Alligator mississippiensis: one gene and its partner. The protein of the gene in region 2 purifies or fractionates together with the protein of the main gene of each other region. This does not show direct contact. Links are inferred from orthologs where the notes say so. Each region holds a gene or a part of one and is shown on either strand. Other genes may lie near its edges.

Region 1 (15,317 bases), on a different chromosome or scaffold from region 2:
TTGAGAGAGACTTGCCAGTACTCATAAAACAAAGATACACTTGCGGGCAGCCACTCAACATTCAGCATAACAAAAAAAATGCTATATAATGTTAGGTACTGTATTCTGAAAAAAAAAAAAAAGAATCAAATCCTCTGTCTCTCAAATTGAGCACCCAAAATTACTGAACACTTAATATGCATCTCCACTGACTGCCTGTAAAATGGGGATAATACCACACTTGCTCACCTCGAAAGAATGATGTAAAGATAAACTAATTAAAGTTTTGGAGGACTGGGGTATTATAGTGAGTTCCACAGAAAACAGCATGAAGAAGTTAGTCATTCTGTACTTACAGCAGGGTTTCAATAGTATGCAGTAAGACAGACCACCAAATGAGAAAAGAAAAAGAGAATATTAAAATAGGAAGAGCAATCAAAAGACCTCAACAGATTTTCAGAGTTAGCTTGACAAAATTAATTAATGGTTATAAAACACGGTTGCCTGTGAAAGCAGGAGAAGTAGACTAGGTGATTCAGGAGGTAGGTTCCAGACATAGGTTCATTAATTGCTCGTCAATCCTCTTGTGCAACGAATGAGCTTAAGGTCCTTTGAACAATTATTAAAGGCTAATAATAATGCATATACAGAAAGGGTCAGATTAAGGTTACATAATACCCCCTTAAATGGGACATTTTCCAGTGTTTTGAATACTTGCATCAGCAACCTTAATTATGTTCTTTTAACATAGGTTTTTGAATGTGTGTGAGAGCATGCAGTACTTAGTAAAAGGTAGGCATTTCTAAATTCTCAAAGCATGTGCCAGATACACGATTTCTACAAACAACAAAGTACTAAAGATATATCAAATAACTTCATATATGTTATAAACAATGACATTTTGGCTGAACAAAATCAAAGACACTTCTGATTTGATCAATCTTGCCTAATAAGTCAAAATTAGTACATAGCCCAAAAATCAAACAACTGACTGGCTTAAGAAATAAATCAATGAAGAAATAACTTCATCTATTTTGAGTGTTGGTTTCCCACCATTTTCTCTTTAATTTTCAAAATACCGAGGATAAAATCTGAGCACAATATTACCATAAATCAGTCCTATTCACTGACGCTTCTGAGATTGCATCAACATTATTTTAACATGGTTACAATGTTTCTCCTGTGTTATGCACACAATTTTTTATATTGCCACGAGTCAAATTAAGCCCTGTTACAATTATCTAACCCAATGTATTGGCAGAAGAGCTATTTACATAGATAGACATCTCAGTTATTTTAATAAACTATAAAAATGCAACAAACAAATCATTCCAGAACTTCCAGTTCTTGTTCTAGCAAAAAGTCCTTCAGATGACTAGCTGGAGGCACTAACTTAGTGAAAACAGTTCAGATGGCAAGCCTAAGCTTAAATGCATATGTATATATAATGCTTTTTATTAACTATTTTAGCATTCTTTCTATTCACCAACTTGCTCCCAACTGGGGAGTTTGCCAAGGTACCTCACCTCTTTCCCACAAGTAACTCAAGAATCTGAAACCAATTTGAGCAAAAAACACCTCACACATCTGCTAGTACATCTGCAATTTACTCTCATAGGCCCAAGGGTCCAACTGCTATGACATTCAGGCAGAGAAATATGAGTTCTAATATAGAGTCATACAAATTCAGCAAGTTAATTGCGACACAGTTTTGACCCACACAATGTATTTGTTTAATCAGTTTCAATCGGCTAAACCAGAGGTTCTCAAACTGTAGTCCACAGACCACCATTGGTCTGTGAGCTCCCTTCAGGTGGTCCTCAGAAAGGTGACCTAAGGCTAAAGCTGACAAACATTACACCCAACTTCCCAGAACTTCGCTCAAAAAAAAACAGGCACATCCATTGCATTAAAATGGTTAAGACTACTGATATTAAAGTATGAGTTGTGCGCTTTGATTTGTAGAACAAAAGAAGTTTATTAAGTGGTCCGCTGAGACCCTCAGCAATTTTCAAGTAGTCTGCGGAAAAAAAAGTTTACTGAGCTAGACTTTTGAAAGGTATTCATTGTCTTAAGATTATGATGCAGGGGTTTACCTAACAGCATGTGCAACTCATGAACTGGGCTGGCCGATCACTATGCAACAATAACCCTATGAGATGAAAAATATGAATTTGGCTTCAAATATATATTTCCCCTTTGTTAATTCAAAATTGAGCTGAAGTAGTATTTTCTAGGGCACAACCAAAACAAATAACTTTGTTTCACTTTCACTTAGACCCATTATTGCTAGTTAGCTATGTGAAAGCTATCAACAGGCATGAGTTTTTATTTTGTATTTCCTCCCCGCCCCCCTTTTTTTAAAGGAAGATTGCTTACTGTTAGGGATAGTTATTCACTGGAAATTGTACATAGTTTGACATTAAGGAAACACTTGCATTAAATAGCTTTAAAACCAGGTACAAAAAGAAAATCCTTTTTCAATTGTTCCCTATTTTCAATGAATGAAAGTGTGACAACATCTATTACATAGCTTTCATTTAACTGTATCACCCAGAAAAGGCTCATAAGAAAAATCTAAGGCCCCTTCTACACATGCAGGTAAAGGCACAATAGGATCCAAACCACAGGTGTGGGACTGATCCCAGGTTCCCCCTGCACCAGCAAGAAGCAAGCCTCCTGCAACTGGGAGTGACTCCCAGATGTGGGGAAAACACATGCACCCCTACAGCTGAGAGTTGGAGTAGCAGTGATCTCCCAGCCTCAGAGGAAAATTGCAGCAGTGCCCTATGACTGCCAAGACCCATCTGAGTCCTGGTACTGGGAGGCACACAGAAGGGACACAGCATCTGCAGCTGCAGGTGCTGCCAGGACCCAGAGTTGGCAGCTGCTGGGGCTGGAAGTCCCCTCAGTTGCAGGACTCCAAGAATGGTGCACCTCTACAGCTGCGAGCCCCCATCAGGTGGGGAGACCTTACTACCCATACAAATTAAAGCTCAATAGCAACCAGCTACAAAGTTAGTAAATATTTTTGAGGTCTAACTTTATAGCTGTTGGAACTTTTTATGGCATGATAGCTATTTTGCATGTGTAGCTGGTCTTAAGGTAATTGTGCAATTATCCAATTAATATACCATGTAGAGGAGGCCTAAGTGTCTCCACACATTTCAATAAATGCTCAGTAAGAAAAAAAAACTGTTTGTAATTCAAAATGAAAATACTCATCTGGGAAATTAAGTGAGGAATATTTAGTTGACCATACATTCATACTTTGGCTTACTCCACACTAACTTCCCTACAAAGCAGACACCCAAAAGTGTATTTTTGCATAATAAACAGAATATGCACAGTGAAATATCAAAATATCCACAGGGTGAAATATCAAACCCTCTTCTTAGTCTTAAATCAAAGTAATCCCTCCTTTTTACCACTTTTCAGATTAAGTTTGAGATGCAAGATGTATTTGATATGCAGCTCCTACTACATTTGCCACTACATTGCACAGCATCTAGCATAGAACAGAGTGAATTAACTTAAAGGAGTTCAAGCTATTGCACAAAGCAATGAAATATTATACATGGTAACAGCAAGCAGGTTTTCTTATCCTAAGATATTTCAAGTTGTAACAGAAATTAAGAATTTCCAACACAAGAAAAAATCTAACTTTCAGACAGGTCACTAGTGAGCAACCAATGAGCCTGAGAGAGTTTTAAATGCATTTCTTTGCAAAGTGTACACTTAGTTAAAACTTGTGCTTTTGAGAAAGAAGAGATAAATGAGGTAACATAAATGAGAGCAAAAAATGGACATGCTTAGATGAATTAAACTAGGAAAGGAACATGAAAATATTATGAAGCTTGGGGAAAACTTCCTGAAATAAAAGCCAGAAGCAAGTTGTACAGTTTTTAGGTGCCACAATATTTTGCACAGAAAAAAATGGAGTGAAAAGAAAGAACCTCTCTCCATGGAATGACCACCTAGAAACCCCAGCTGCGTCTCCTGTCTCTTCCCTCCTCCCCCGAACTGCAGCAAATTCCAAATGGCATCAGCTCCCACAAATCTTTAGGCTCTGTATATCACTACACAGGTAGGAGGACATGAAATAAGAGCAACTTTTTGAAAAATACCTGGAGAATGAAACTGCCAAAACATAAATACTCAATCCTGCTGAAAAAATTATATTAAAAGCAAGATAACCAAGACACCCTGTAAATATCAAATCCAAGTACAGAATATTTTACAACCAAGCTTTCAAGGTCCTATGTCACACTGTAGAAATAAAATGACAACTTTTCTAGAGATGTTCCACCTTCCCAAAAGCCACAGAACATGCAAGAGGGCATCTCATCTTCTGAGGTTTTCTAGACACAACACTTTCTTCCTATAAACCCCCCCTCCTTGCTCCTCTGTTCTCAGAAACATGCGTCTTTAAAAATATAAGCTATCATTCCAGATGAAACAGAAACCACTCCATCGGTCCATCTGACATAAAGCCTCCAAATGACATAATAGATGGAAAATATCTTTCCTTAACCTCCAGGATCCTGGAGCTATCAATCTCCCATCATTTGTCTTATTCTATGCACTTATACTTAGCAGGTAACATCCACAGTATTTATGTTTCAACTAGAAACTAACTAACTCAGTATATTACACCATTGCAACTTTTCAATTTTGTCATTCATTTAGGGACATTTCCTTCAAGTACAAGAAAAGAAAGTAAAAATAATAAAAATGTTGCGGAATTAACAGGAATGGGATGGAGGGAAGAATAACATAACTTGTGCACAAGATCAATCCAGATATTTTTTATTGTAGAGCTGTTATGGCAGTTTCAAGTATTTGATTAAGGGTGACAGGAAAGTTGCCCTAATGTGCAGAAACAGACAAAAAAAGTTACACAAGTCTGCTGTTCTAGTCCAAGAATTAAGAAGTGGGTAAGGAAGAGGGGGAAAGGGAGATCAAGACTGAAAGGGGAACATTTTAGCAGAGGGAGGTTACTTACTAGTGTATTTTCTCAAGGATCAGTCTTGGAACCAGTCTTGTGTACTATTTGTATTAATGATCTTGGCACAAAAATTAGGGACATGATAATAAAATTTGGCAATGCCAGAAACTTGGGAATTACCATCAACAAAGATGAGGCTCAGAACATCAGGCAGTAAACACTGGCTGGGATGAAAATTAATAGCCCCAAACAAAGTCATGCATCTAACAACAAAAATTTCTACTATAATAAGAGACAACAGGCCTGGATGTATCAGTCACTTACAGGAACATTATAAGCCATCAAATAAACACGAAGCCTTGAGAAAGGCAAAAGAGATTCCAAGATGCATTAGGGGAGTTGTTTCCTCTAGACATAAGGAAGTACTAATAACACTAATAGGACGCGTCCACACGAGCACGGACATTCAGTTCCCCAGGGACAAGCAGCAGCAGTGCATCTTGTGCCACTGCTTCTTGTTCCCAGAGAAAGCCCATGCCACATGCACTTTGGCATGTGGCAAGTTGCCCTGGGTGGCACAGGGGAGGTTGAGGCCAACACTGTACTGGCCCCAGCAGCCTTACCTGGGGTTCCTGGGGGCTCCCGGAGCTGCAGCCATGGTGCTCCTGTTGGGTGAAGCCTAGCTGGCAGCCACAGCACAGCTCCACTTTTTAGCAGCACACGCTGCCCAAGCATGCACTGGTCCATTTTTGTTCCTGAGGGGGTTTTTTGACCCCTAGATAATCCAAGGGTAAAAAAAAAACAAAAAAACAGAGCAGCACATACTTGGGCAGTGTGCCCTTGCAGTGCAGAGAACACCAAATCGTGCTGTATGTGGCACTGCAAACGTGTTTGTAGTGCCACATACAGCACAACCGCGCTTACCTGGACACACCCAGGAAGTTTCTGGTTAGACCTTCATCTAGAACACTGCTTACAAGTCTAGTCATCCACATTTGAGGAGAGTGAAGTCAAATTGATGCAGGTGCACAAAAGGGCAAGCTGAAATGATCAGGGGGTTGGATGACCCATCTTATGAGGTAAGACTAAAAAGAAAGTGGCTATGTTGGTCAATAAATAACTTGGGGGATGCAGATGGAGAAGAGCTATTTCAGCTCAAGACAATGTTGGCTCAAGAACAAATATGTATAAACTACCCACAGATAAAATCCTCCTCATCCTCATAGACTCGCAGAGAAATACAGCTGGAAAGGGCCTCAAAAGATCACCTAGTCCAACAAATTAAGGTTGGTAATTCACAAGAGTCCTAAAGCAAACAGGTGGGAGCTTCTGAAACAGCCACCCCATTTGGTAGACTAGGATTTTAAAAAAAAAAGCTAACTAGTTTTAGGATGCAGGTTTATCTGCTTCCAAAAGGGATTGTATGTGCTGGGTGGTCAAATAAGTAATTGGACTGATGCTTCTGGAGACTGTTTTCAGTCCCAGGAGGCAAATCAACTATAAATGAATGATCTACATTTATAAACAATGTTGGCAAGTTCTTTATGGAAACCACAAACCAAAAAAACAAAACCAATACTGAAGACACTGGTGTGATTTATCAGACATGCTGGGCAGATTCCCAGCTACTCTGGCTGGGATCTCTTGGACATCAACATTTCACAGAAGCAGGATGTTGCCTACTGCCGTTCCCCTGGGGCAGGTTGGGGCATTAGGTGTGTGCTGTGTCAAGGCTGATGGTGGTTTTCCAGAGAGTTTAGATGACAGATTTGTACAGGATGCTTGGGATGGGGCTAATCAGGCCTGGCCCCAGGCAGGGGGTTGGACTCGACGACCTCTGGAGGTCCTTTCCAGCCCTACTTTTCTTCTATGCTTCTAGGACAATGGTTTTCAACCTTTTTTCATTTGCAGACCCTGCCAAAATTTCAAATGGAGGTGCAGACCCCTGTAAATTATAAGTGTGGGTATTCACAAACTTTTCATTGATCGTAGTCATCTTTCGCAGACCCTTTAGACATAGTTTGCAGACCCCCCAGGGGTCTGCAGACCACATGCTGAAAACTACTGCTCTAGGATACTGCCACGTTCACCCAGAGCCTTGAAGCTCTTGGATTTGAAGTCATGCCCCAAAAAGCCCTGCCTCCTGAGCCAGACTCTCCTGCAAAGCTGGCATTAGGAAGCCTCCTGACAGAACACCCCGTTTCTTAACCCAAATCCCTGAACCCCATGCCGAATCCTGGTGCCAGAGAAGCAGCAGCAGCCGGATCTCCACAGTCTGCAGGCAGCCCAGTGAAGTGCCCCTCCCTCCCTCCCTCCCTGCTGGCTGCTACAGTGTAAACACCACAGGGAGGAACCAGGCTCCCTCCTCCCCTTTCCCAGGTGGAACTCTGCTGGGGGGGGGGAGTGTGTGTGTGTGAGAAAAGAGATGTGTGTTGCTGCTGGGGAAACAAATGTGTGTGTGTCTAGGGGGGCTGTGTGTACGTGTTGCTGCTAGAGTAGGGAAGGAGGGAGGGTGTTGCTACTAGGGGGACAAATGTGTGCATGTCTGGGGGGGCTGCGTGTGCACGGGCGTGTGTTGCTGCTGGGGGAGGTGTGTGTGTGTGGCGGAGCCCGTGCCCCGCGGAGGAGCGGGCGGGGAGGCAGCCCGCGCCATGGCAGCCGGGCCGGGCCGGGCGCCGAGTACTCACTCGATGAAGTAGCTGGCGCCCTCGTCGGAGAAGCCCTCCTCCCAGCCGCGGGGCAGATCTGGGGACACACGGGGGGGGGGAGGGGTGAGAAGCTGCCCCGAGGTGCTGGGGGGGGGAGTCCAAGCACACCCGGGGCAGAGGCGGGGGCGGCCCCAGCACCCACCTGAGCGGATCATGTGTCCGGAGTTGACGGGCTCGCCGCTGCGCGGGTGCAGCCAAGTGGTGGCGCGGGCCAGGTCGCTGCGGGGACGGGACGTGCACCTGTTAGCGCGGGAGCGGCGAGCGGGCGCGGACACCCTCCTCCCCCCCCCGCCGCCGCCGCCGCCGCCGCCGCCTTACTCAATGAAGAAAACGCGGCCGTCCCTGCACACGCCGTAGGACCAGTGCTCAGGTAGTGCGTCCCGCGCCACCGCCGACGCCGCCGCCGCCATGTTCGCGCCCGCCGGCCCGGGCCCGACCCGACCCGCTGCCAGGCCGCGCTCCGCAGCGCCCCCCGCGTTGCTAGGGGCGCGCCCCGCCCCGCCCCCGCGTGCACATGTGAGCCCGGCAGAGCCCGCCACTGTGCGCCGGTCAGCCCGGGAGCGAGTGTGTGAGAGAGCCCTGAGGGCATGTGCGAGCAGGAGTGTGAATGAGAGCCTGTGTGTGAGCCCACGTGAGTGTAAATGCGCGTGTGAGAGTCTGAGCCCGTGTGAGTGTGCATGCACAAGAGTGAGCCCGTGAGTAAGTGTGTGAGTGCCCCTGAGTGCCAATGTGTGAGCCTGTGTATGAGGGCCACTGAGTGAGCAAGCCCAAGTATGAGCCCTTGCATGTATGCAAGTATAAGCCCTTGTGAGCACATCCATGTATGAGAGTCCATGTGTGTGTAAGTGTAAGCCCATGTGTGAGTGTAAGTCCATGTGTATGCCCCTGTGTGTACAAGCCCATTCATGAGTGCATGTGTTCATCCCACCCCCAGCTATGCCGCCGCCTCAAAGGGAGCAGTGAGGCTCACTGTGACATTCACCCCCTCCCATGTCTTCTTTCCTTTGTTGTGGCTGGGGCTCGGGGGCGATGGCAACGGAAAGATCCCTCTGCCCAGGGACCAAGGGGCTGCTGGCCCAGAAAGGGCTGCTTGGAGCTGCCAAATCTCCTGTCTGCTGCAGGACTGAAGTGCAGCTCCCTGCAGGTTGGGTGGGCAGAGTACTGTGGCAGGAGTGGGGGGGAAGTGCACTCCACTGCTCTTGGGAAGTGGGGGTGCCTCATTTCCACTCCTCCCCCTGCCAAAAAAGCCTACTGGGTTCGCTTGGTGACCATTTCTGTGCCTCATTCCTCTCTACCCCCCAAAGAAACAAAAAAGAGAGAGGAACAGAAATGGTACCAAATGAACCCAGGAGGAAGTCAGTTTTAAAACGAACCACAGGGACAGTGGCAATGTGTAGGGGGGGCACAGGGGTGCATGTGCACCCCCTGAGAGTGCTGGTGCACCCCCTGAGAGACCGCGCTCCCCACTTAGGCAATGGGCAGGGTGGGTACCAGTGCCAGCAAGAGAGGAGGGGCACCAGGTGAAGCGCCGCTGGCACTTCTGGAAGCACCACACCTGCATCCCGGTTGGCACAATCGGCCATGGGGGGACAGCCCCCTAGTTGGCAAGACTGACCATGGGGGACACCCCCTCCACCCCAGTCCCTGACTGGTTGCTGGGGGGGCATGTGCCCCCCCCCCCCCAACTCAGGTGGCACCAGTCGCCCATGCACAGGGAGGTTTTTTTCCCCACACAGCTCAGTTATGCTGCCATGGCCCAGCTTGTCACCAGATATGGTGGAAGCTGACAGTCTAACCCGGGCATGCTCAGCCTTCACCCTGTGGGCCAAAGGCATCGGGCCTGTGTGGCTCCTCACACATCAGGAAATTTGTTGGTGGGGGAACAGTGCCCCTCTCCACTGCCAACATCCTGGCCCAGAGCAGCATTTCAGAACTGGACCACAAACCTCCCCCTCACACAGCCAGATCAGGGCTTGGCCAAGCTGCCTTTCTCCACAAGGCTGGATTGGGACCAGGCTGCCAACTCCCTCCACCCCCTCACCCCTGCACAGCTGGATAGGGCCCCACGTTGTGTGCCCTGAGTGCCAGATTGGGTCCACTGGCCAGTTCCAGCCTACAGAGGGACCCAGCACTGCCCATCCAGCCGTCTGCAGAAAAAGGTTGAGCACCACTGGTCCAGCCAGATTCACAAAGGGATTGAACAGATTCTTAGAGGAAAGGGCCATCAGGAGCTATTGAGTATAGGAGTTAGGGATACAGCCTCTGAATCAGAACTTCTTAGACCTTAAATCCCGGAGGCTGCATGTGAGTATCAGTGGAAAAAAAGTCCCTCATCATATCCAGTTCACTCTCCCTTTCAACATTCACTCTTCTGCCACTATGACAGGTCTATTTGATGTGTTTAGGGGGAACTTGGGCCAATGCCCATCAAGTAAAACTATAAGTCCCTCTTCATATGGGAGGCCACTAAGGGCACATCACCAGATTACTGGCTGTGTGACACGGGCCTGTTTGATGGGAATTGGGAGCATGGGCCATTGCCCACTGAGAAGAGCTAAAAGACCTCCTTAAGCTGGGAGACCACAACATGCACACCAAGTGATTACCAGGGACAACTAGAGAAGAAAACAGGGACAGAAGTGAAGGTTCGAGTTTCAAAATGAGTGCACCAAGGGGGAACATGGAGCAGCTGTGTGACACAGGAAACTGGGTAAAATATGGTCTGACTTAGTAAGTGGCAGTTCTTATGTTAGGGGGGTACCCATGCAGCCCTCAACAGCTTGCCAAAACTGGGTAAGCAGAAATAACTGCCTGCCCCTGCATTACACACGAACCGGTTTATGTGATCAGAAACTTGTTTAAACCTGTAACAGAACTGATGTTTAGTGTGTGGTGGGCCAGTAGAGGGTGCTTCTGCGTTGACCCACCCACCTCACTGCTCCCGACCACCTTCCAGGCTCTGAGTGCCTCTCTGGGGGTGCCTCATGTCCAGCCGACCCTCTTCCTGGAGCACACCTACAAGCCTAGGGAAACGCTGCCACCACCCAGGGTCTGGACTGATCTTGGCCCTGTGCCCACTGGGAAACACAGGCCTAGTGGTCCTTGAGTGTACTTCACTCACTGCAAGAACTTGGGGTGCTTCCCTCAGTCTGAAGCACAAATAGTGGTCACCCTTAGTCAGCCGAACCAAGGGGACCCCAAAGCATAATCTCGACCCTCTCCCAATAAGTAGCCCATGCTAGGTACCAAGGAGAACTTTATTGGTTACAAGGAGTAGGTTTGGAATAGGGTACAGGGTAGAGCAATATCATAGAAATCCCTTAAAGCAAACAGTGGCATGGTAGCCTTTAATTACGCACCTGTGCTACTGCAAGCTATATATCTAGTTAGATCTCAAGTAGCTTACTCACAAGTATCATCCAGAAGCAGGTGGAGATTCCCTCTGGAGGCAAGTGGTTCATTGACCATGAGTTCAAGAGAGAGAGCGAGTTTCAGATGGTCCAGCTTCTCTGAGAGTTTTCATCATGGCTGCTGCCCCATCTCCTGGGCAGTCCTTAAATTATATAGATTTATGACTTCATTTACCTGACCTAATGAAGGCCAGCACCTGTTGGCTGCCAGCCAACCAATTTGAAATGCATCACTGGGTGCTGGGTAGACTGGCAAGGTCTCTAGCCCCCTCCCAGTCATGATGACATTGCTTGGAACAATAGGGTGTTTAAGCCCCAATCCAGATGTGTGAGGTCAATCACGCAGGCAGAGGGAGCAGGTTTCCACCTCCAGCTCAGGTTACAACTCAGGCTTACCTGAAGCCAGTGGGGCCAGGGGTGTCTGCCCTCTGCAGTGACCATGGTAACCAAACTGTCAGATTGGTAACCTGCCTGATAATAGAGTTTGGGGAGAAACAGAGATGGTATTCTGCCACGGTGCACATAAATCTGTTTGAGAAAACCGTGGTTGAATGTAGTATCAGACATAACTGGTTTGGGTCAAACTGGTTTATGCAATGTCTGTCCCAGACCCCTTGCTGGTCTAAGATAAATCAGACTCCCCCAGCATCCTGGCATGCTCTCTGGGCTGAGTGGGGCTCTCTGCTCCCTGGCTACAGATCTGGCAAGACTGAGTTGCTCCCTCCTCTGACCCCCACCACTCCCTGCTAACCAGGAATTCCTTCCCTCCCCTCTGCTTTGTGGAGAGGTGTATGTATATTATCTAGCAGATCATATGCTGGCTAGCTGATAATGTCCCTCTATTGTTTTCTTAATGGGGTGATAAACTGTTATCAAATTCCCTGCTGGACTAATCAGAGCATCCTACCTGGGATTGGCCACCCCCTCCCTCCCCCCCCACCCAGCTCAGTTCTATGCAAGGAAAGGGAGGGCTGCTCTAGCACTCTGGCTTCTAGCCTGAGCCACTGCAGGCATGTGCTGGCATTTCTGGGATGTCTGCACACAGTTACAAAGTGATTCAGCTTAGCCAGGTTAGACTAACCTGCAAAGATTGAATCAATTCAGGCTCAGGCTTTTTGAATGCCTGTCCCTAGCCCCTACGGTTGCTCCCAAGCACTTTCTTCAGCTCTCTGAACCTGTGCATGTGAACATTACTTGGGGGGGGGGGGGGGGGGTACAGTGCAAGGCAAAAGAAAACAAAAGACTCTAAGAACTCTAATGGCACATCTACATGAGACGCTACTGTGCAGTAGCGTTGGCAGGCACTAACTCTGACAGGATGTTACTACACAGTAGTAATGAGCTACTGTGCAGTAGCTTCTGAAAAAACCTGTGCAGCAACAGTACTGTGCAGTAACAACTGCACAGTCCACCGCTCATGTAGACGCAGCCTAAGGGTAGTAGTATTGGAAGGAGACCAGGTGCATGTTGCACACATGAGCAATCTGGGCTTTGATTTTAGTGATCTGTCAAGAGCTTAATAAGTAAACATCTGTGGTTTGATTCACAGTAAATTAAGATAAAGCACATATACACAATTGTTCTTTACTATACTAAATGTTCTCTTCTATTTTCTTAGTTATGTCTTAATTTGCTGCACTGCATAATCCCTCTCCCTAGCTGATCACTTCTCCCAAATCTTAGAAATATCTGTACCCCTGTTCTTTAGTCATCAGTAAACCAAGATTTTTCTAACCTTTTCTCTCGAGTTAAGCTTCCAAAAATCAAATTCTTTTACTGGGTTTTTTTTCTGAATTCCCACCTAATTTATCAATATCTCTATGATGAATCAGTGCTCAGAAATTAGTAATTATTGCTGGGACTACGCACTGTAATGGCAACAAAAACACAGTTATTTACTTCCTACTTAATGCCAATAAAGTGCTTAAAGCCATATCAAATACATAAAAAACAGTACCTTGTCCTGAAGAGTTTAATTTATTTTTTTGTATTGGGCCAAACTTTTCGCACCTGATTAACTTCATGAGCTAATGAAATTGGCTTATTATGCCCTGGCTTTCCCACTTGACTCCTTTGATCAGATGAACTTGTATATTTATAATAATAGTCTTTGTGTAAACTATTACTAAAAATCATTTGAGGCTTGTCTTCAGTGACATAATAGAAAAATATGTTCAAAATCATTGAAATGGAATTTAACTTCCCCCACATTAAACCCATTTTGGATGCCTGATGCATAAGCAACCATAACATTTTTTTGAAACATTCTATATGTCTAAGAACATATATTCCCTCTTTTGATTACAGCTCTTTAATCTGCACACTTAAGTCCTATTTTCATCCCTGTAGGTAGGCAAAAAACAAAAACAAAAACAAAACATATATCGTTAGAAATATGTTAAAGTGACATAGACCACATATAGAAAAACAGAATATTGTATTATAGTTGAACAGGACCTATGTTTCCATACAAGATGAAAGTCACTTCCTGTTTGGAGCACTATCATTCCAGATTAGTGATCTTCCACCCAAGTGCAGTGTCACCAGGGGGTGCCTTGGGATCCATTCAAGGGTGCCATGAGGTGCCATGCAGCTTTAGCACTGTTAGGTATGCAAACACGATTCACAAGATACACCCAGAATTTTCAAATAGGAATCCATAGTATTAAAAATATTCTGGCTTCTTGTGATCTTTCTGGGCTTTTTGCAACAGAATTGTTCTATCATTTCTCTATTCAAAATAAAAGAGTCAAAACTAAGAGCTGGTGCCTTAAATGATCGAGGGGTGCGTGGAGTCTAAAAAAGGTTGAGAACCCTTGTTCTAAGTGCTTAAAAATCAAAAAACTAGCTCATTAACTTAAAAATTGCTGTGACCTCTGGTGGTGCAGGATAAGACAAGTAGTCTTCGAACCAATAGTTTTCCCCAATGATTGTGTGTTTACAGATTTTCCTACCTTGTGCATGTATTCATATACTCCCAGTTTTGTAGATGATGCTCAGATTATGGCTCTAGTATGGATTATGACTCCTCGAACTGATTTCAGGTACCTAGGATCTCTGCGAGACCATGGCACTTTGGGATAATATTGAAGAAGTTATTCAGAGTTACATTAGGAATTTCAGTAAAAAATAATATGAACTAAAGAGAATGAAGTATGCATGTGCAGCAAGTCTAAGGGTCTATTAAAAACTGATGCTAAATTGTGTCCTCCACCTTTTACCCCTTCTTTTAAATTCCTGCCCTACCACCCATCCCTTTTGATCTGCCACACACCTAAGTCTCCCTCTTCTTTATTCCTTCCCACTTTTGATTCTCCTCTCACTCTGCTTCCTGCACCCTGGCTTTTCATCCTAAAACTTCCATACCTCTGCACTGCTCCAACCCTCCCTAGCTCCATACCACAGATGTAAGAATCTGGAAGTATTAGAAGAGCTGTGTATCAGGAGCTTCTTGACCAACTAAGCTTTCTTTTGATAACACTTAGTCCCAACGTATCCAGGATAGTAACAGAATTTAGGCTGTATGTACCCTAACTTTGTACTTTTGGTTTCCAGAGGTTCAAATAATTGATCTCACTATTCTGGAAGGGCACAAAGCACAGGCAGACAGACTTAGATATCACCTTAAAATCCTTGCTTCTAATATATTTCCTGGGCCATCATGGCTACAAAAATACTCTAACCATCACTCTATTAACACAATTTTGGGGGTATTAATTGAAATAAATTGGTTTACATATGAAAGCCACACCAACCAAGCACTCTCAGATGAAAGAAAAGCCATACACAGCCTATAAGAGGTAAGTGGCCAAATTTTGGGGGACTATTAAACACTGCATCTGAGTTTCAGTCTTGAGCAAATAAACACAAAGTGTACATTAAAAGAAAGATAAATTTCAAAAATTTTAATTCTCATAGAATCATAGAGTCATCGAAAAGTAGGGCTGGAAGAGACCTCCATAGGTCCTCTAGTCCAAATTCCTGCCTGAGGCAGGATTTATCCCTATTCAAATCATCCTGTATAAATCCATTGTCTAATCCAGTGGTGCTCTACCTTTTAGCCACATGGGCTGGGTGAATGGTATCTGCCTTCTGTGTGGCTACATCACACTGCAACCTTGTATGAATCTGTGTTCTACCAAGACTCCCAGATACTTCTCCATGGTGCTGCCACCCAACCAGGTGTCATCCATTTAGTATTTGTATTTTTGATTATTCCTCTTGAAGTGTAGTACCTTGCATTTATCAGTGCTGAACTCATCCTGTTAGCTC
Region 2 (15,581 bases):
GGGGTATGAGGTGCAGCGGCTGACGGTGATGGACATGGATGCAAAGGGCACGGCGGCCTGGCGCGCCGTGTACTCCATTGTGCGCGGCAACGAAGGTGGTGCCTTCTCTATCTCCACTGACCCCGAGAGCAACGAGGGCATCTTGCAGACCGCAAAGGTAAGCGTGAACAGGGCAGGGACTACGGGGGCAATGGCAGTGCCCTCGAGGCTGAGTCCCGGGCACAGCGCCTATCTGCATGGGGACCCCGTGGGTCTCATTGCTGCCCTCTCAACCCTCCAGGGCTTGGACTATGAGGCCAAGCAGCAGTTCACCCTGTACGTGGCTGTGGCCAACGAGGACCCCCTGATGGTGAAGCTCCCGACATCCACAGCCACAGTGGTGGTGACAGTGCGGGACATCAATGAGGCCCCCATCTTCAGCCCACCCGTGAAGATGGCCCAGGTGCTTGAGGACATGCCTGTGGGCCAGACCATCACCACCTACGCTGCTCAGGACCCTGACAGCTCCCAGAGCCAGAAGATCAAGTGAGCAACTCTGGGCTGGAAGCCAGGGCTCGGGCTGGCAGCACGGCTTAGTGCCTGAATGGCTCTGCTGACCCATGCAAAATGGGCCGGAGGGGAGCTGGGTCTGTGATGGGCAGGGGTGTCCAGCCCTCATCCCCCTTGGCACTGGGACACGGACCTCCATGGCCCCCATCCCATGATGACGCCTCCCTCCAGGTACTCCATCGGCAGCGACCCTGCGGGCTGGCTGGCCATTGACCCGGACCACGGCATCGTGACTGTGAAGGAGCCCCTGGACCGGGAGTCGGTGTTCGTGCAGGACAGCACCTACACGGCCATTGTGCTGGCCGCGGATGATGGTGAGAGCTGGGCCGTGGAGGCAGAGCACTGGGCACGCATCCCACTGCCAGCGTCCGCCTGTGAAAAGCCTCTTTGTTCCCCAGGCAGCACGCAGATGCCGGCACCCCATGTGAGGGACACGTGTGCTGTGGCTGGGTCCCTCCGGGCTGTCATGAGATTCATCCTGGGCTTGTGAAGCACTTCTGTGCAGCGAGGGGTGGAACGGGCCTTTCCCAGATCGGCCACAGGCCTGGGTGGGGGCTGGGATATCTGTGTGCATCCAGGGGCTTGGGCATCTCTGCTCTGCGCTGCCCAGAGGATGCCAGTCTGGTGCCTGGGATGGGGAGTCACAACCCCATCCCTTGCAGGAGTGTAGTGTGCCACAGTACCCTCCTCCCCTGCCAGGCACGCCGCCCGCTACCGGCACGGGCACCCTACTCCTGACCCTGCTGGATGTGAACGACAACGGGCCAGAGCCGGAGCTGCGTGACTTTGTCGTGTGCAATCGCAACCCAGAGCCACAGGTCCTGAGCATCGTGGACAAGGACCTGCCCCCCAACACTGGGCCCTTCCAGGCCGAGCTGAGCCACGGCTCTGGAGCGAGCTGGGCAGTGGAGATGAACAGTAAAGGTACCAGTGCCCCTACACGGGAGGGTCCGGGCAGCTGGCCCCAGGGCAGGCAGGGGCTGGGTCCTGGGAGCCAGGGGGGGCAGCACCCAGCAGCTGACCGCTGTCTGGGCGCAGGGGATGCTGTGATTGTGCGGCTGACGGAGCCGCTGAAGCAGGATGTGTACAAGGTCTTCCTGCGGCTGGTGGACAACCAAGGCAAGGACCAGCTGACGGTGCTGCAAGCCAAGGTGTGCGAGTGCGAGGGGCACACGGAGGAGGGATGCCCTCATACAGAGGCGGTTTTCTCAGGCGTCCCCATCATCCTGGCCATCCTGGGAGCCCTTCTGGTCCTGCTGGGTGAGTGTGTGGCCTGGGCCAGACCCTCTGGGAGTCCCCAGGCTTGCACGCAGGCTGGCCCCTTGCAAAGCCTCTCCCAGGGAGCGCAGCTCTGTGCTGGGAGAGAAGGGGCCTCCTGCAACTTGGAGCCCCCTCCATCCTCGTGTAGGGGCCCTGGTGCGGCCCCGGCTGGGAGACGGGGTGGTGGGAGCCTGGCTGAGCCCCCCTGTCTCCCCAGTCATCCTGCTGCTGCTGCTCCTGGTGCGGAGGAGGAGGAAGTCAGGGAAGGAGCCCCTGCTGCTCCCGGAGGACGACACGCGGGACAACATCTTCTACTATGGAGAAGAGGGCGGGGGCGAGGAGGACCAGGTGGGCATGGGCTGAGGCAGTGGGGCAGGATGGGAGGGGAGTAATGGGGCTCTGGGCGCTGACCCCATGCTGTACCTACCTTCCAGGACTACGACCTCAGCCAGCTGCACCGGGGCCTGGATGCCCGCCCCGAGGTCATCCTCCGCAATGACGTGGTGCCCACCCTCGTGCCAACCCCGCAGTACCGGCCGCGCCCCGCCAACCCCAACGAGATCGGCAACTTCATCGATGAGGTGAGGAGCGTGGGTGGGGGTACGTGCCTGCTGGCCTGAGCCCAAGACATGGTGTTGGGGTCAGTTGTGTCCTTGCAGGGCCTGGTCCATGCCTGGGTTGAGGGCTTGCCCTCCACTCCAGGGTCTTCTCGTGGCTTTTGGAGGCAAAGGGTTGAGTCTTCTGGGTGCTTCCATCCTAGCTGAGGACGTGGCTCAGTGCTGTGTAGTCAGGTCCCCATGCTCGGCTGCCTTGGGGGGGCAGGTCCTGGTGCCACGAGGAGGGTGCTGTGCAGGGCTCGGTGCAGAAGCACTACTCTGGCTCCAAGGCCATGTCCTCCTGCCCCAAAGCTCTTGGTCTCATGAGGGTGGGGGGCTCCAGTCTCTGCCAGCTGAGCTCTACAGCCCCCACTCAAGCTGGGTGTCGGGATGTCTCTGGACACCAAGCTTGAGCCACTTCCAAAGCCCGCACGGGCCAGGCTGCACTAGGGCAGGGAGGGAGATGCTCACCTGCTGCCTCCTCCCGGCCCCAGAACCTGAAGGCGGCCGACACGGACCCCACGGCGCCGCCCTACGACTCCCTGCTCGTGTTTGACTACGAGGGCAGCGGCTCCGAGGCCGCCTCGCTTAGCTCCCTTGACTCCACCAGCTCTGACCGCGACCAGGACTACGACTACCTGCACGACTGGGGCAGCCGCTTCAAGAAGCTGGCCGACATGTATGGGGGCGGCGAGGACTAAGGGCCCCACGTGTGCCTTGCACGGAGCAACGTGTGTGGAAGCTGGATGCCAGCCCCACGCAGCCGGGTCCCCGTGCAGGAGACCCCGCGGGGGGGCTGTCGTCCCAGACCTTTGCAGGGCTGAACCCACTGCTTCTCCGACCTGTAGCTCTCTGCCTTAAGCTGCTGGTGCCTTCTGGACGTGCAGACGCACGGACCCATCCCCTGTGGAGCTAGGAGCCCGTATCCCCCCATGGCCAGCGGCTCTTGGCTTCTCAGCCTGGGCCAGCTGGCCCCCCGTGCCCGCGGCTGGGGCTGTGCTCAAATTGGCCTTGCACATGCCGCTGCCGCCTCAATCCAACCATTCCCTGCAGCATCAGATAGCTGCTGCCTCCTTTTTTGTACCTCCCCATGGCTATCGCTTCTCTCCCCTCCCTTTGTACGATTATCCCCAGCGCGATGTGGGCGCTGCTTGGCCAGGACGGTCCTACCATGTTAGTTTTATTAAAAGTACTTCTTTTTTTTTTTAAGTGCCCTGAGTTCCTGCTTCTTTACACCAGTCCCATCCTGGGGCAGGGGGGAGTGGAGCCTGCTGCATGGTAGGGTAGGACATGCCGGGAGGGGGCTGGCACTGGCGCTAGCCCTAGTCTCTACCTGCTCCTGCAGGACTGTCTGTGAGGCCTCCCCTACCGAGGGGTCTTGCTGCACTGCCTTGTACTATTTCTTGTGCTCTGACCTCTCCAGCCCCTGGTGCAGGGGTGCAACAAGCACTGCCAGCTGCCTTGCTTAGACTGGAGCTGCTGAGTTGCAACCAGCTGCTGGGGGTCCTGAGAGCCGGGCTGGGGTGGAAGTGCTGGGGTGTCTGAGATGTGGGGGCAAGCACCGTGGAACCCAGCCCTGCCACAGTGGTGGCACAATGCCTGGGGCCAGTGCCTTGAGGCAGCTGGGAGCCTGCAGAAGGCAGGCCGGGCCGTGCCCTCTCTTCTCCTGGGCTCAGATCTCGCTTGGCCCCTGGAACCTGTTCTTTACTTGGGCTGTCCCATCGCCGAGGTCATCTGCCCCAGTGCTTAACAAGCACGTGGCTATGAGGCTTTCCTTGCAGTCGTTTAAACCGATTTACTGCTCATCTGCTTCCAGAACAGGCTTACCTGGCTGTCACCACAATTTATTGTATTTCTCTCTTCTCCCTTGTCTCGACTGAACTACTCAAGTTCTCTTGCTCTTTCCTCATGCGTTGGGTTTTCAAGGCTTCCACCCTCTCTCCCTACCTCTTCCTCCAGGACACGGTGCCCAAACCAGGATGCGACGCTCCAGGGGTGGTCTCGCTGCAGCCCTATAAAAGATTCCTTGTTACATCTCGCCCTCACTAGCCTCCAGCCCCCCTCGGAAACTACCCCCTCTGAGCTTTCACTGTTAACTACAGGGCAATAATTAGGGCAGGTCTTGTGCAGCAAAGAGCTAGAGCCGCAGCAAGGCCCAGCATCTTGTCTTCCAGTCTGGATCTGCTATAACCCTCTTTTCTACCGCCGGGGGTGAGATGAGGCCTAAGCCCAGCCAGGTGCAGTGGAAGGAGATGCAGCACAATGTGACCCTGGTAGCACCCTCCAAGGGCAGGGGCTGCCTGCTCTGCCCCCTGCTCCCCGGGCAGCAGTGCTGGGCTGGGCATGGGAGTTGCAGGTACCCTCGTGGTATGGGGGTGGGGTGTACAGCAACATAGGTAAGCTGAACACCCTCCCTGGTGCCCCTGGGGCATGGCTGGTGCTGCAAGGGCTTGGAGCAGGGGGCCAGGCTGGCCAGGTCAAGCCACCTGCAGAGCTCTTATCTCTGCAGAGAGCTCAGCTGCTGCCTCGCTCTGGGTGCTGCTGCCACCCCCCAGCCTGGGCTCTCGCCTGTGGCCTTGCTAACGAGCATTGTGGGGGAAGTGGAGTTGATATAATGACAGCAACTCCCCTGTGCTGTGGGGGCTGCGCAGCCACAGCTGGCCCAGGCTGCTCCGGCTTTGCTGGGAACAGCTGGAGCTGTGGGGGCAGAGAGAGCCCTTCTGCTGGGACTCCCTCTTTGGAGCCCGGGACCTGGTGCTTGGGTCCTTGCAGGAAGTCTATGGGGGCTGTGGACTTCCTTGGGAGCAGTACCCAGAGTTGCTGCCTTAATGGACTGGGGGATGGGTTTGTTGTGCATGGGACAGGGGTGGCCTGTTGCGATTCCCCCAGTGATAGCAAAAGGCACCTTTCCCATTGCAGCAGGAAGAAATGGCCCTGCCTGGGGCATGGAGAGCTAGGAGAGGAAGCCAGGAGCCTGGATGAGCACTGGCTGCAGAGCTTCCAGCTGGGCACCTCCCTGGGGGGATGGCTGCTGCCTGCCTGCACGGGCTGAGGCTGGGACTTGGGATTCCCCAGCCTGGGAGCAGAGGCCTCACCTGGCCTCTTTCACCTGCCTGGAGTAATGCATCCTGGCAGGGGCCCAGGGGGAGGGGGTACTTCCCTGCTCAGAAAGCAGCTTGTAACCTGAGGCTGGGTGTGGGGGGGAGCAGGGACTGCTCCATCCCCCCAGCCTCTGCAGCAGCCTGGTGACTGGTCCGACTGGTTTTTCCGGCGCGGGTGCTGCAGCCCTTCAGGGCCCTCTTCCCCAGCCATCTCCTGCCCCTGTGTTGCCCAGCTTCCCCCAGAGCAGCCCCCCGGCTGGGTGTCCCAGGAGGCACCCTCCACCACCCCCACGTCCTGCGGCTCAGCTCTGCACCCCGAAGTGATCCAGGGCGTGGGAGGGCCCGGCTCCCTTCTCTGCCCAGCAGGGGGCAGCATGGCACAGGGTTGGGACCGGTCCCTGGGGCGGGCACTGGGAGCAGGGAATGCATCCCTGCCCTGTAGCCCAGGCACCTGGCCTACCACCTGGGACTGGCATGACCCTGCCCGCCTCCCAGTTGAGCCTGTGGGATCCTGGCAGCCCTGGGGAGCTGCTGTGGGTGCTTCTGAAACCATCCCGGGCTGCAGAGCAGACTGGGTGCGCTCGCCCCCTCGGCTGCTGGGCTTCCTGGCCTGGCATGCCCTGCTTGCTGCCCCTGCTTTTGGTACGCGGGTTGCTGGGACAGGGATGATAGTAACTGGTGCAGCTCAGGTGGCTGCTCACCTGTGCCACCTGCTCGCTGCTGGCATCGGTCGGAGCTGTCTGGCTATGCTCCCACGTGCAGGTGCCAGCGATGTGCCATGGAGCCCCAGCCCACCCCAAGGGGCCTTCTGGGGACAGCAGCTGCAGCTGGAGACAGGCTGGAGGGGCAGGAGGCAGTGCAAAGGATGGCTCCTGACAATAGCGGTGAGCAATAAGGCAGAGGTCTTATTTCTCCTCAGTTGCCTCCGCAGCACCTTCCCATGCAACCTGGGTGCTGGGGGCCAGCCCAACACCCGCCAGTGACGACCCATGGAAGAGGGGGAGTGGAGCAACAGCGGTCTCAGTGGCTTGGGGTAGGTGTATTTGGAGCTAGGACCACAGGTCCGTGAGCCATGTTTCCAGTGGGAGGGTAGGGGGTACGAAAACAAACCCTACTATGCATGCAGGGCCCTGGATGCAAAGGAGGCAGGCATGGGCAGCCCCTGCGGCAGGAGGGATCTGCCCCACTTGGCTACTGCCCCCTTTCTTCTTACCCCCCCATCTGGTCCTGGGAGGGTGACCCCGACCCCTAGCTCCAGGCCTCTCCATGCCGAAGGACGTGACTAGGAGAAAGGGGTGGGGCAGGAGCCTGGGCACCTCCTCGCTCCTGCCCGGAGCTGTTGGCAGTGTTTGGAGCAAGGCTCTGGCCATGCAAAGCAGCTCGCACCTCCCCTCCGGCACCCCGGGCACGGCACTGAGCACAAGTGGGTTGGCTGTTGGCTTTGTTTGCTGTGCCCATTCATCACCCTCTCCATCCTTTGCTGCTGCCCATTCTCCCCACGTTGCACTTCTGAAGGATACCACCCCCTCGGGCTCCTGGCACGGGTAGGGTCCAGCTCTCCTGTGCCTGGGCCCTGTTCCTAGTCTCAGGGCAAGGACTATGGCTGCTCGAATAGGACATGCCCATGGCCCAGCTGGCCTCCCCATGCTCCACGATGAACCTTGCTCTCCTCCTGCTGAGGTCAGAACAGGGAGCAGGCGCCCTCCAGGCACATGCTTAGTCCTAGGGGTAGCCTATGCCCCCTGGTCCCTCTGTCCCCTGGCGCAGGGCCATGCTAGAGATTGTGGTCATCAGGTGAGCACTGAGCTGGGCAGGACTGCACCCAGGAGAGCACCTGCTTGCTGGGATGGAAGGAAAGGCCTGGAGTTGCCTGTCCCTGCGGAGCCAGCAGTGAATAATTCAATGTTTAAGGCACGACTTGGCCAGTGCATGCCCGTGGGAGCCCTGGCACCACGTTTGCTCTCCATCACCTGCCAGCAAGCAGCAGGAGCCGGGCAAGTGGAAGGGGAAGCTGGACTCAAGGGCAGCGTCCCCTTTCACCAGCCTGGTGGTCACCAGCCCGCTGCCGGGTGTTGTGGGGATGACTGGGCCAGGGTGCTGCACAGACGCATGACCTTTGCCCCACGGGGCTTCCAGGACCAGAGGCTGTTGAGAGGGAAGTGGTAAGGAGGGACTGAAAGGAGCAGGAGCCCCTTCCCGGGGCCCAGCGAGAGGCTGGTCTGATGGTGCAGTGCCCAGGCAGGGAGGCTGGAGCTGACATCGGAGGCTGCGTGAACTGGGGACAGTGACGGGTGGTCTAGGGAGGGCCTGGAAAGCGCATGGTGGATGGCTGAGAGCGCAGCGCAGGAAGGAGCAGGGCAGGTAGGTGCCCTGGCCATAGCTGCAGGCCAGAGGTTGATTGCTGCTGACCCACAGGCTGGAGAAGACGGGGTGGGGGAAAGGATACGGTACAATGTGACCCCAGGCAGGAGGATGGGAGCGGACGATGCCTGGGCTCCTGGGAGGCATGACAGACCAGGAAGGAGGCAGAGTGAGGAGGAAGTCGTGGTGGCGACTGCGGGCGCGCAAGCTGTGGTTGGTCCATCAGCTGTTGCCAGCAAGGTGCACTTCCTTCTCCTGCACGGGGGCCAGCTCTGCTGTATCCCCCGCAGCCCGTCTCATCTGCAGCACGTGGTGCCTGCATGCCCAGGCCCAGCCGCCTGCCTGCTCCCTATGTGCCCCTGCCTCGGGCTGCCCTTGAGTCCAGCTACAGCATCCGGCTGGCCACACCAGCAGGGACAGGAAGCAGAGCTGAGCCACTGCAGCACTTGCAGTTTCGGTGTTTGTTCAGCAAGAACTTTGCCCTTAAGACCTGGGCACAGCAGGCCCCGCTCCAGGCTTCCTGCCTTATGCAATCCATGCAGCTCTGTGGGGGCCCAGCTGGAGGGAAGCTGCAGGGGTGAAGCAAAAGCCCTGGTCCCTTCTGCATGGGGGGACTAGCAGCCCACCCCTGCGCTGGGCCAGTTGGCTCTAGCACGCTTGCAGTTGCAGCAAACAGCTCATGCCCGAGCTCTGCTGCCCACGCAGCCCCACCCGGCATGTCCCGTCACCAGGCTGAGCTTACTGGGGCAGAGGTGGCCCCACGCCTCACCTGTCAGCCCTGTTTGTCACCTTCGTCCTGCCCAGCATCCGCTCCCAGCCGCCCGCCCTCAGACAGGGTGTGGGAAGACACCTTCCCCTTCTCCTTTCACTTCTCTGGCTCCTGCCCCTGCCCTGGGGCCAGCTCGAAGGCCTGGTGGCTCCTGAGGTTGGGGCCCGGGGCCTGCAGCTGCTGGTGGTTGCTGGCTGCTTTCTAAGCTGAGGTCCCTGGTCCCACTTCCCAGTCACGGGTGTCCCTAGCGCACGGGGTCGAGCATCGGCACTTTGTTGGGGTCTTCCCCAGGGGGGCTGCAAAGCCAATGCACCCAAACAGCACCCCGGGACATGACACCCTTGACCCCGAAACCTGCCTGGTGCTACAGCCCTGCTGATGGGGGGGCAGCCGGATCCCCTGTGCCTGGCACCCCGGGGCAGCCTCCTAAGACCATGAGAGTGGTCACGTATGGGGCAGGGCATAGGTCTGTCACGTCTGGTCTCAGAGAGTCCGCCGCCACCTATAAGTTTATCAGGGGTGACCGCCAGGACCTGGGGGAACGTTTGTTCACCACAGCGCCCCAAGGGATGACGAGGTTGAACGGTCACAAACTCCGTCGCAGCGGATTCAGGCTGGACACAAGGACGAATCTCTTCACTGTCCGAGCCCCCGAGGTCTGGAACAGCCTGCCACCGGCGTGGTTCCAGCACCCACTTTGAACACCTTCAAGAAAAAATTGGATGCTTATCTTGCTGGGATCCTGTGACCGCAGCTGACTTCTGCCTTCAGGCAGGGGCTGGACTCGATGGTGGTCCCAGGTCCCTTCCAGCCCTAGTGTCTATGAAATCTATGGGGAGGAGACGGGGGTCACCCCGGGCAGGATCAAACCCCGTGTCCCAGCTCTACACCCTGCCCCGCCTCTCCAGGAGGGTGCCGGTCCGCGGGTGCGGAGGGAGGGGCAGCCCCCCAGGCCGGACCAGCGCGATGCGGGGGAGGAGGAGGAGGAATCCCGCCCTGCCCCGCACACGCATCGGGCAGGGGCAGGACCGGGGGAGGCGGAAACCCCCGCCCGCAGCCCCGAGGACCTCCCCCGGGCCCGGCCCATCCCGGCCCGTCCCGTCCCGTCCCGTCCCGACCCACCTGCGGGGCGGAGCCGGGGCCGCTCACCTGCCCGCGCCGCGCCCGCCCGGCCCGCACTCCGCGTCCATGGGGCCGCCCGGCGCCGCGCTCTGCCTCCTGCTGCTGCTGCAGGTGAGACCCCGGCCCCGACCCCACCCCGACCCCCGACCCCATCCCCATCCCCATCCCCATCCCCACCCACACCCGGCTCACGCTGTCTCCCCGCCAGGCCGGCCCGGGGCTGTGCGAGGAGACGCGCTGCCAGCCCGGCTTCAGCGCCCAGACCTTCACCTTCGCCGTGCGCCGGCACAGCCTGGAGAGGGGCAGAGTCCTGGGCTCAGGTGAGCGCTGCGCCGCGGGTCGCCCAGGGGACCCGACACCCCTAGTGCCCCTGTGCCCCCCTGCCCAGTGCCCCAAGACCCTTAATCCCTCCGTGCTCCGTGCCGAGACCCCTAGTCCCCTGCGTCCCATGCTCCAGGACCCCCCAGGGTCCCTGTGCCCAGTGCCCCTCCCCATCAGGATCCCGTGCCGTCCTGGTGCAGCGTCCCGGGGGGGCGGCAGGTGCTGAAAGGCCCCGAGAGAGGGGCGGGCTGGCCGCTGGCAGGGAAAGGCAAAGAGCAGCACAAAGCCCCTTCCCACCTGCCCTTTCCCGGCGCTGGGAGGGAGGGAGGGAGGGAGGGAGGGAGGGAGCAGGCTTGTTCTAACTCGCATTGGGCGGGCGCGGGGCTCCGGTTGACTGTTGAACTCTGACAACCCGGCTTTGATGGATCGCACCAGGCACGGCTGGTGCCACCTCCCCGCCCGCGGCTCGCCCTGCGCTGGGGCGGTGCAAACAGGAAGCTGGAGGGCAGCACGCTGCGGCCAAGGGCTGCGCTCGGGAGTGCCTGGGCAGTCGGTTCTGGCGGGCGAGGAGCAAATGCAAGCAGTGGGCTGAGCTGGTCCAGGGGTGCTTTTGTCTGGGGCAGGGTGGGGGCAGCTCTCTCCCCTGGCACTGCACAAATGCCTGGCACTGTTTCAATGGTGGTGTTCACAGCAAGTGCAGGGCCTCTCTGTTCTCTGCCGGGCGCCCCTGGCTGCCAAAGCCCCCTGCCCAGGGCTGACCTGACAGGCTGTTGTAAATCTGGGGTGTCCCCAACCCCAAGCTCCTAGGGGCATGGGTCCCCAGCTGCTTGGGGGGCGCTGTGTTGGTCTGCTGGTCCCCACCCTAGGGTCATGGTTTTGGGGATTCCCTGAGAGGGCTGACACCAGGACAGCAGGAGCTGCCAGCCCACGGGGTCTGGCAATGTGGAGGAGTCGCTGCAGGGCATGCAAGGGCATGGAAGCTGTGCCACAGGAGCTGTCTGTGTGTGTGCGCTCCTGCCCCAGAGCAGAGCAGGGTCCCCCGCACCTGCCGTGGGGCGAGAGCACATGCACGGGCCATTCCCCGAGGTAGTCGCAGCATGATGTCCAGGCTGCAAGAAGGCTGAAGCTGTTCCCACCCTGGGTTGGCACATGAGCTGGGCTTCCCTTTGCCAACCAGGGGCTTTTTCCTGGCTGGCAGGGAGCAATGGGGTCTGTCTGGGGAGAGCTGGTTGGAGGCAGCCGACTAGACGGGTCTTGTGCATCCTCTCAGTGATGGCAGAGCACTGTCCCCAGGGCCCGCAGGAGCAGCAGGGGTGGCTGGAGAAGTGCGTGGTCTGTGCTGGCCTCCAAAGACCTGCCTGCTGGCACCTGAGCCCCAGAGCCAGAGGGGTGCTGATGCAGCTCGTAATTTGGGCTGTACCTACTGCGCTGCCTGGCGTGGCTCGTTGTCCATGACTTTGTTAGCGGCTGTTGCCGGCTGGTGGGATGTGGGTGCTATGTCCAGACAAGCCAGCCTGCTGCGCTTGCTGCAGTTACACCAACCTGCTGCATGCAGCCTGCCCCAGCCCCTTGCAGGGGCACATCCCTCCCCGGTTCGCATGCCAGCGGTTGTGGGAGCTGGTCTGAGGCCTGAGTTAGCAGTGACGCTTCCTCTTTCCCTTGGCATTTGTGCTGTAGCTGGGGGAGGGAGCCGGCGTGGGGGCGGCTGGTGCTGGGATTGCAAAGCATGGCGTGTGTGGGGGTCCTGGGCTGCGCTGGGGCTTTCGAGAGGTTGCGATGGAAGTGCTGTTTGCTCCTGGTTAATGGGTGACGAGGCTGGTGGCGACAACACAGCTGCTGCGAGGCAGCTCTGGCTCCGTCCTGTCTGAGGGGGAACATGCTAGAGCCCAGAGGCAGCCAGTAGAGGAGTCGCAGAGAGACGCATGGGGAAACCCGTGGCACCCGTGCCTTCCTGGCAGCTCGTGGTGCAGAGCAGTGTCTCCAAATCAGCTGGGACACTTGGTTCTGGTTCTTGCCTGATCACGAGTTGCCCGGGGGTCCTGCCTTACGCTACCACGACCGGTGATTTCCCCGCTGGCCTGAGCCACCCTTCTGTGCAACTGCCCCGGTTCCTTGAGTGGGAATTCCCCAGGTTCCCAGCCCCGCTGCTTTCTGTTTCAAAAGTTTGGCAGGGGCGGGTGCGGGGGCCGAGAGCAGAGACATGGCCCTAGGTCTCCTCCCTGCTCTCTGCCCGCACTCGAGACCCTGGAGCCGGCTTGACCCTCTGGAGAGGCTCAGCCCAGGAGCAGGTGGCAGGAGAGTCCCTGTGCAAAGCACTCCCATCCCTGGGACCAGGAGCCTGTTGGCTGCAGACCGGAGTAGCCCAGCAGGTGCTGGTGCCCCCAAGGGCACGGGGCAGTGTAGACAGTGTCCACCTGGGGCTGCAACCGGAGGCAGCTCAGTGCTGGTGAGACGTAGCTTGGAGAGAGCCCTTGTAGCCCTGTCCCGGGAGCTGCACACAGGTTACCTGTAAGGCCTCAGCTGCCCACAACCAGCGGAAGAGCTGGTCCCCGGGCGCAGGAGGCTGGAGACTGCCTCGCCGGGCAAGCAGGGCGGCCGTGCCAGGGTGCTGGCAGGGCACAAGGCTTCTGGTGTGATAATCCACAGTGACAGGGAGGCAGAACTGGCCTGTAATTAGGGGATTAGCGCCCAGGCAGGCCCCTCCCATGGACCTGTCTGGATTTTTTTAAATCAAATTTTGTTTCTGGGCCAAATTAGTTCTGAATTTTGACTGAGCAGAGCTCAAGTCCATGTGGCGATATCTCCGGCAAGTCTCCTCTCTTCCAGACTCTTCTTCAGTCTGGGGCTTCAGAAGTTCCCACATCCATGGCAGGCATCCTACGTGCAAGCCCAGAGGCTTGGAGGTTGAGGTGCCCCTGGTCTTGCTTGCCCTGAGCTGAACGGCTGAAGGAGCTAGGGGCAAAGCTTGAGACCAGTCCCCCGTCACCATCAATGGCCCCCATCGGAGGCATTATAGACTCGCGGGGTCAGCCTGCCTGCAGTGCGCCGGACAGGCCTTGACCCCCTAACTGCACTTGGGTCCATTCGCGGCTGAGAGGATGGTGTCTCCCAGACAGGTCTGGATAGGCCTGTGCGTGGGGGCAGGAGGAAAACCCAGGCACGAGGGGCTCTCTTGGACCCGCTGTGAACACTTAGTGCCTGAGCAGGGCTGCTCCTGGGCAGTGGCCAGGTGCTTTGGACTGTACCCAAAACCCTCCCTGCAGACCCGTCACTGAGGATTCCCCTCGGAGGGCTGGATGGAGCTGCCCGGGATGCATTAATTGTGTGGAGGAAAGCCTCCCGCTGGGTGATTCCCTGTGGGCATCAGCAGCTGCTTGCTTTCCTCGAGGCAGTCCCGGGAGCGCCCGCGCCTCCATCGCCAGCTTGCTGGGGGGAGCTGCCGTACGGGGAGGGGATGAGCTGGAAGCCAAGCATTCCCAACCACTGACTGCTCGTGGTGCCTTGGGCAAATCCCTGTGCACCCATGCTGGGACTTGTAGGTTGGGGGCAACAACTAGCACCAAGGGCGTTGGGAGTGAGCTGTAGGCAGGCTAGCCAGCGACAGGGCGACAGGCAAGGGGGTGAAGCCCTGTCTCCACCCGAGAGTGGCCTCAAGTGGAGGGGGAGGTAATCCTATGCACCCCGTTGGAAGAGGATTTGTAGCTCATCTGGTCCCTCCACGGTGGGTCCATTGTGCTGAGCCCCACAGCCCCACCCTGCACGGCCCCGGCCACTCCTGCAGCCTGGCAAGGCTTTGGCTGGCGTCCCAGAGCTGAGCGCCATGCCTGGCGCGTTCCCAGCCCGGCTGGGGGTGGCACAGCCGCTGTGTACACACGCAGGTGACTGGCGTCTGAGTCAGCTCTCAGGAGAAACTCGCCCAGCCAGTCTGGACCGGGGCGAAACTCCTCAGTGATGTCACCAGCCCTGCCCTGCGCATGTGGGAGTGGGCCCTGCTGGGGGGGCACGCCGGCCTGGCTGCCCCTGCACTCGGGTCCTGTGCTCCAGGCCTCTGCTCCCACCTGGGCTGGGGTGGCAAAGCCGGGCTGGAATAACCTGCCGCTGGCAGGAACCCGGGAAGGCAGGGGAGGAAGTGCTTTTTCCTGCTCTACCTGCCCCCGGGGCTGGGCTGGAGGCTGCTGCGTCTCCTGCCCAGCCAGGAGCTGGAGTGACCACGCTGAGTCCTGATCCCTGGGCACCAATGTCCGAGCGGAGCTCTGCATCCGCACCCTGTCCTTAGCGCTGACACCCCCCGTGCCACACGATGGCTTCGGTCCAGACCTTGACCTGGGGTGGGGGTAGGAGGTCAGAGTCTTAAAGCGCTGGCGATCCTTTTCAGACTCTGGCTGGCTGGGATGGCGATTGGGTCTGGCATGGGGGCAGGGACATGCTCACAGCATCCCAGGGCTGGGGTCTCAGCACCTTCCCCTGCAGCTCATACTGCAGCTGGAGTCGACAAGGGGGGTCCTGCAGGGAAACTGAGGCAGCCCCACATGCGAGCTGTCGGCATCCAGCAGTCAGGAAGACCAGTGTCTTCCTTCACCCCTGCCCCGGTCGGTGCAAGTGAGGCCGTGGGGTTGGCTCTGCTGGCCAGGATGCAGGGGGCTGGCTCGGAGCATGGCACCGGCTGCGGAGAAAATGTGCCCCAGGAGGTGCCGGAGCCTCCGTGCTTCAAAGGCCGTCACTGTGAACGCACCCGGCACCAGGCGTATTGCAGCCATCGCCCGTTGGGAGGCTGAGCCATCAGCTCTCAGGTCCCATCACTTATGCATGGCCCAAGAGCCTTGCGCCCATGGCAGAGAGACGCTATGGGTCTAGCTGCCTGGGGAAGGTGTCCGTGCAGCCACTTAGTTCCCTGGATCACTGAGGCCCTGGCAGCTGGGTGCAGGAGCTGGGTGGGGTGGGGTCACTTGGGGCCTTGCCCAATGTGTTTCAGTTTTAAATTCCACCCGCTGCGGGGAACCCGATCCCGTCTCTGCCTCCTGCCAGGCAGCCGGCTCCCCCAGGCAACAGGAAAGTTCTGGCTCCTCCTTGGAGCCCTTGGGAAATGTGAAAGGTCTCCAGGTACTTTCCAAAAGAGCTGGGTCTGGGGCAGTGCAGGGGGACGCAGTGAAACCTCGGCACCCCTGAGAAGCTGCTGAGCTGGGAGCTGCTGCCACGAGAGCCCGGGGCTTTGGGGATGAACGTGCAGCTCCCCCGGGCTGCAGCCAGGCAGGGACCCCAGAGGGGCACGCTCTTGGCTGGGATGCCAGAAAGCAGGGGGTGGAAGGAGACTTGGCTGGAAGGAAGGACAGGGCAGAAAGTGAAAGCTTTCATGGCGGGGGGATTATACAAAGGACTCCTGCATATTCCTAGCAGGACAGGTGCGTGCAGCGAGGCGAGGTGTGATGCATCCCTGTGCTGCTCCACAAGCTGAGCTCTGCTGTCTGCCCACGCCCTGCCCCTGGCACAGACACCACCCTGGAG

What was found.
Region 1: the proteins of B-cadherin (region 2) and PLEKHA7 purify together in Homo sapiens (co-immunoprecipitation; 3 studies listed by BioGRID and IntAct, with this or other methods). This does not show direct contact. The link is inferred for Alligator mississippiensis from reciprocal best matches to the Homo sapiens genes CDH1 and PLEKHA7.

The regions. Positions count from the first base shown.
Region 1 is NC_081825.1:193,066,072-193,081,388, reverse strand, and holds the start of PLEKHA7 (pleckstrin homology domain-containing family A member 7), read right to left. Parts: upstream 8,063-15,317; 5' UTR 8,046-8,062; coding exon 7,954-8,045; exon of another isoform or gene 7,934-7,953; intron 7,855-7,933; coding exon 7,778-7,854; intron 7,673-7,777; coding exon 7,615-7,672; intron 1-7,614. UniProt on the Homo sapiens protein: Required for zonula adherens biogenesis and maintenance. Acts via its interaction with CAMSAP3, which anchors microtubules at their minus-ends to zonula adherens, leading to the recruitment of KIFC3 kinesin to the junctional site.
Region 2 is NC_081833.1:76,120,222-76,135,802, forward strand, and holds the start of B-cadherin, read left to right. Parts: upstream 1-9,763; 5' UTR 9,764-9,824; coding exon 9,825-9,869; intron 9,870-9,966; coding exon 9,967-10,078; intron 10,079-15,581. Other genes in the region: B-cadherin, read left to right, coding at 1-157, 281-525, 721-863, 1,249-1,473, 1,588-1,809, 2,027-2,157, 2,244-2,390, 2,900-3,106.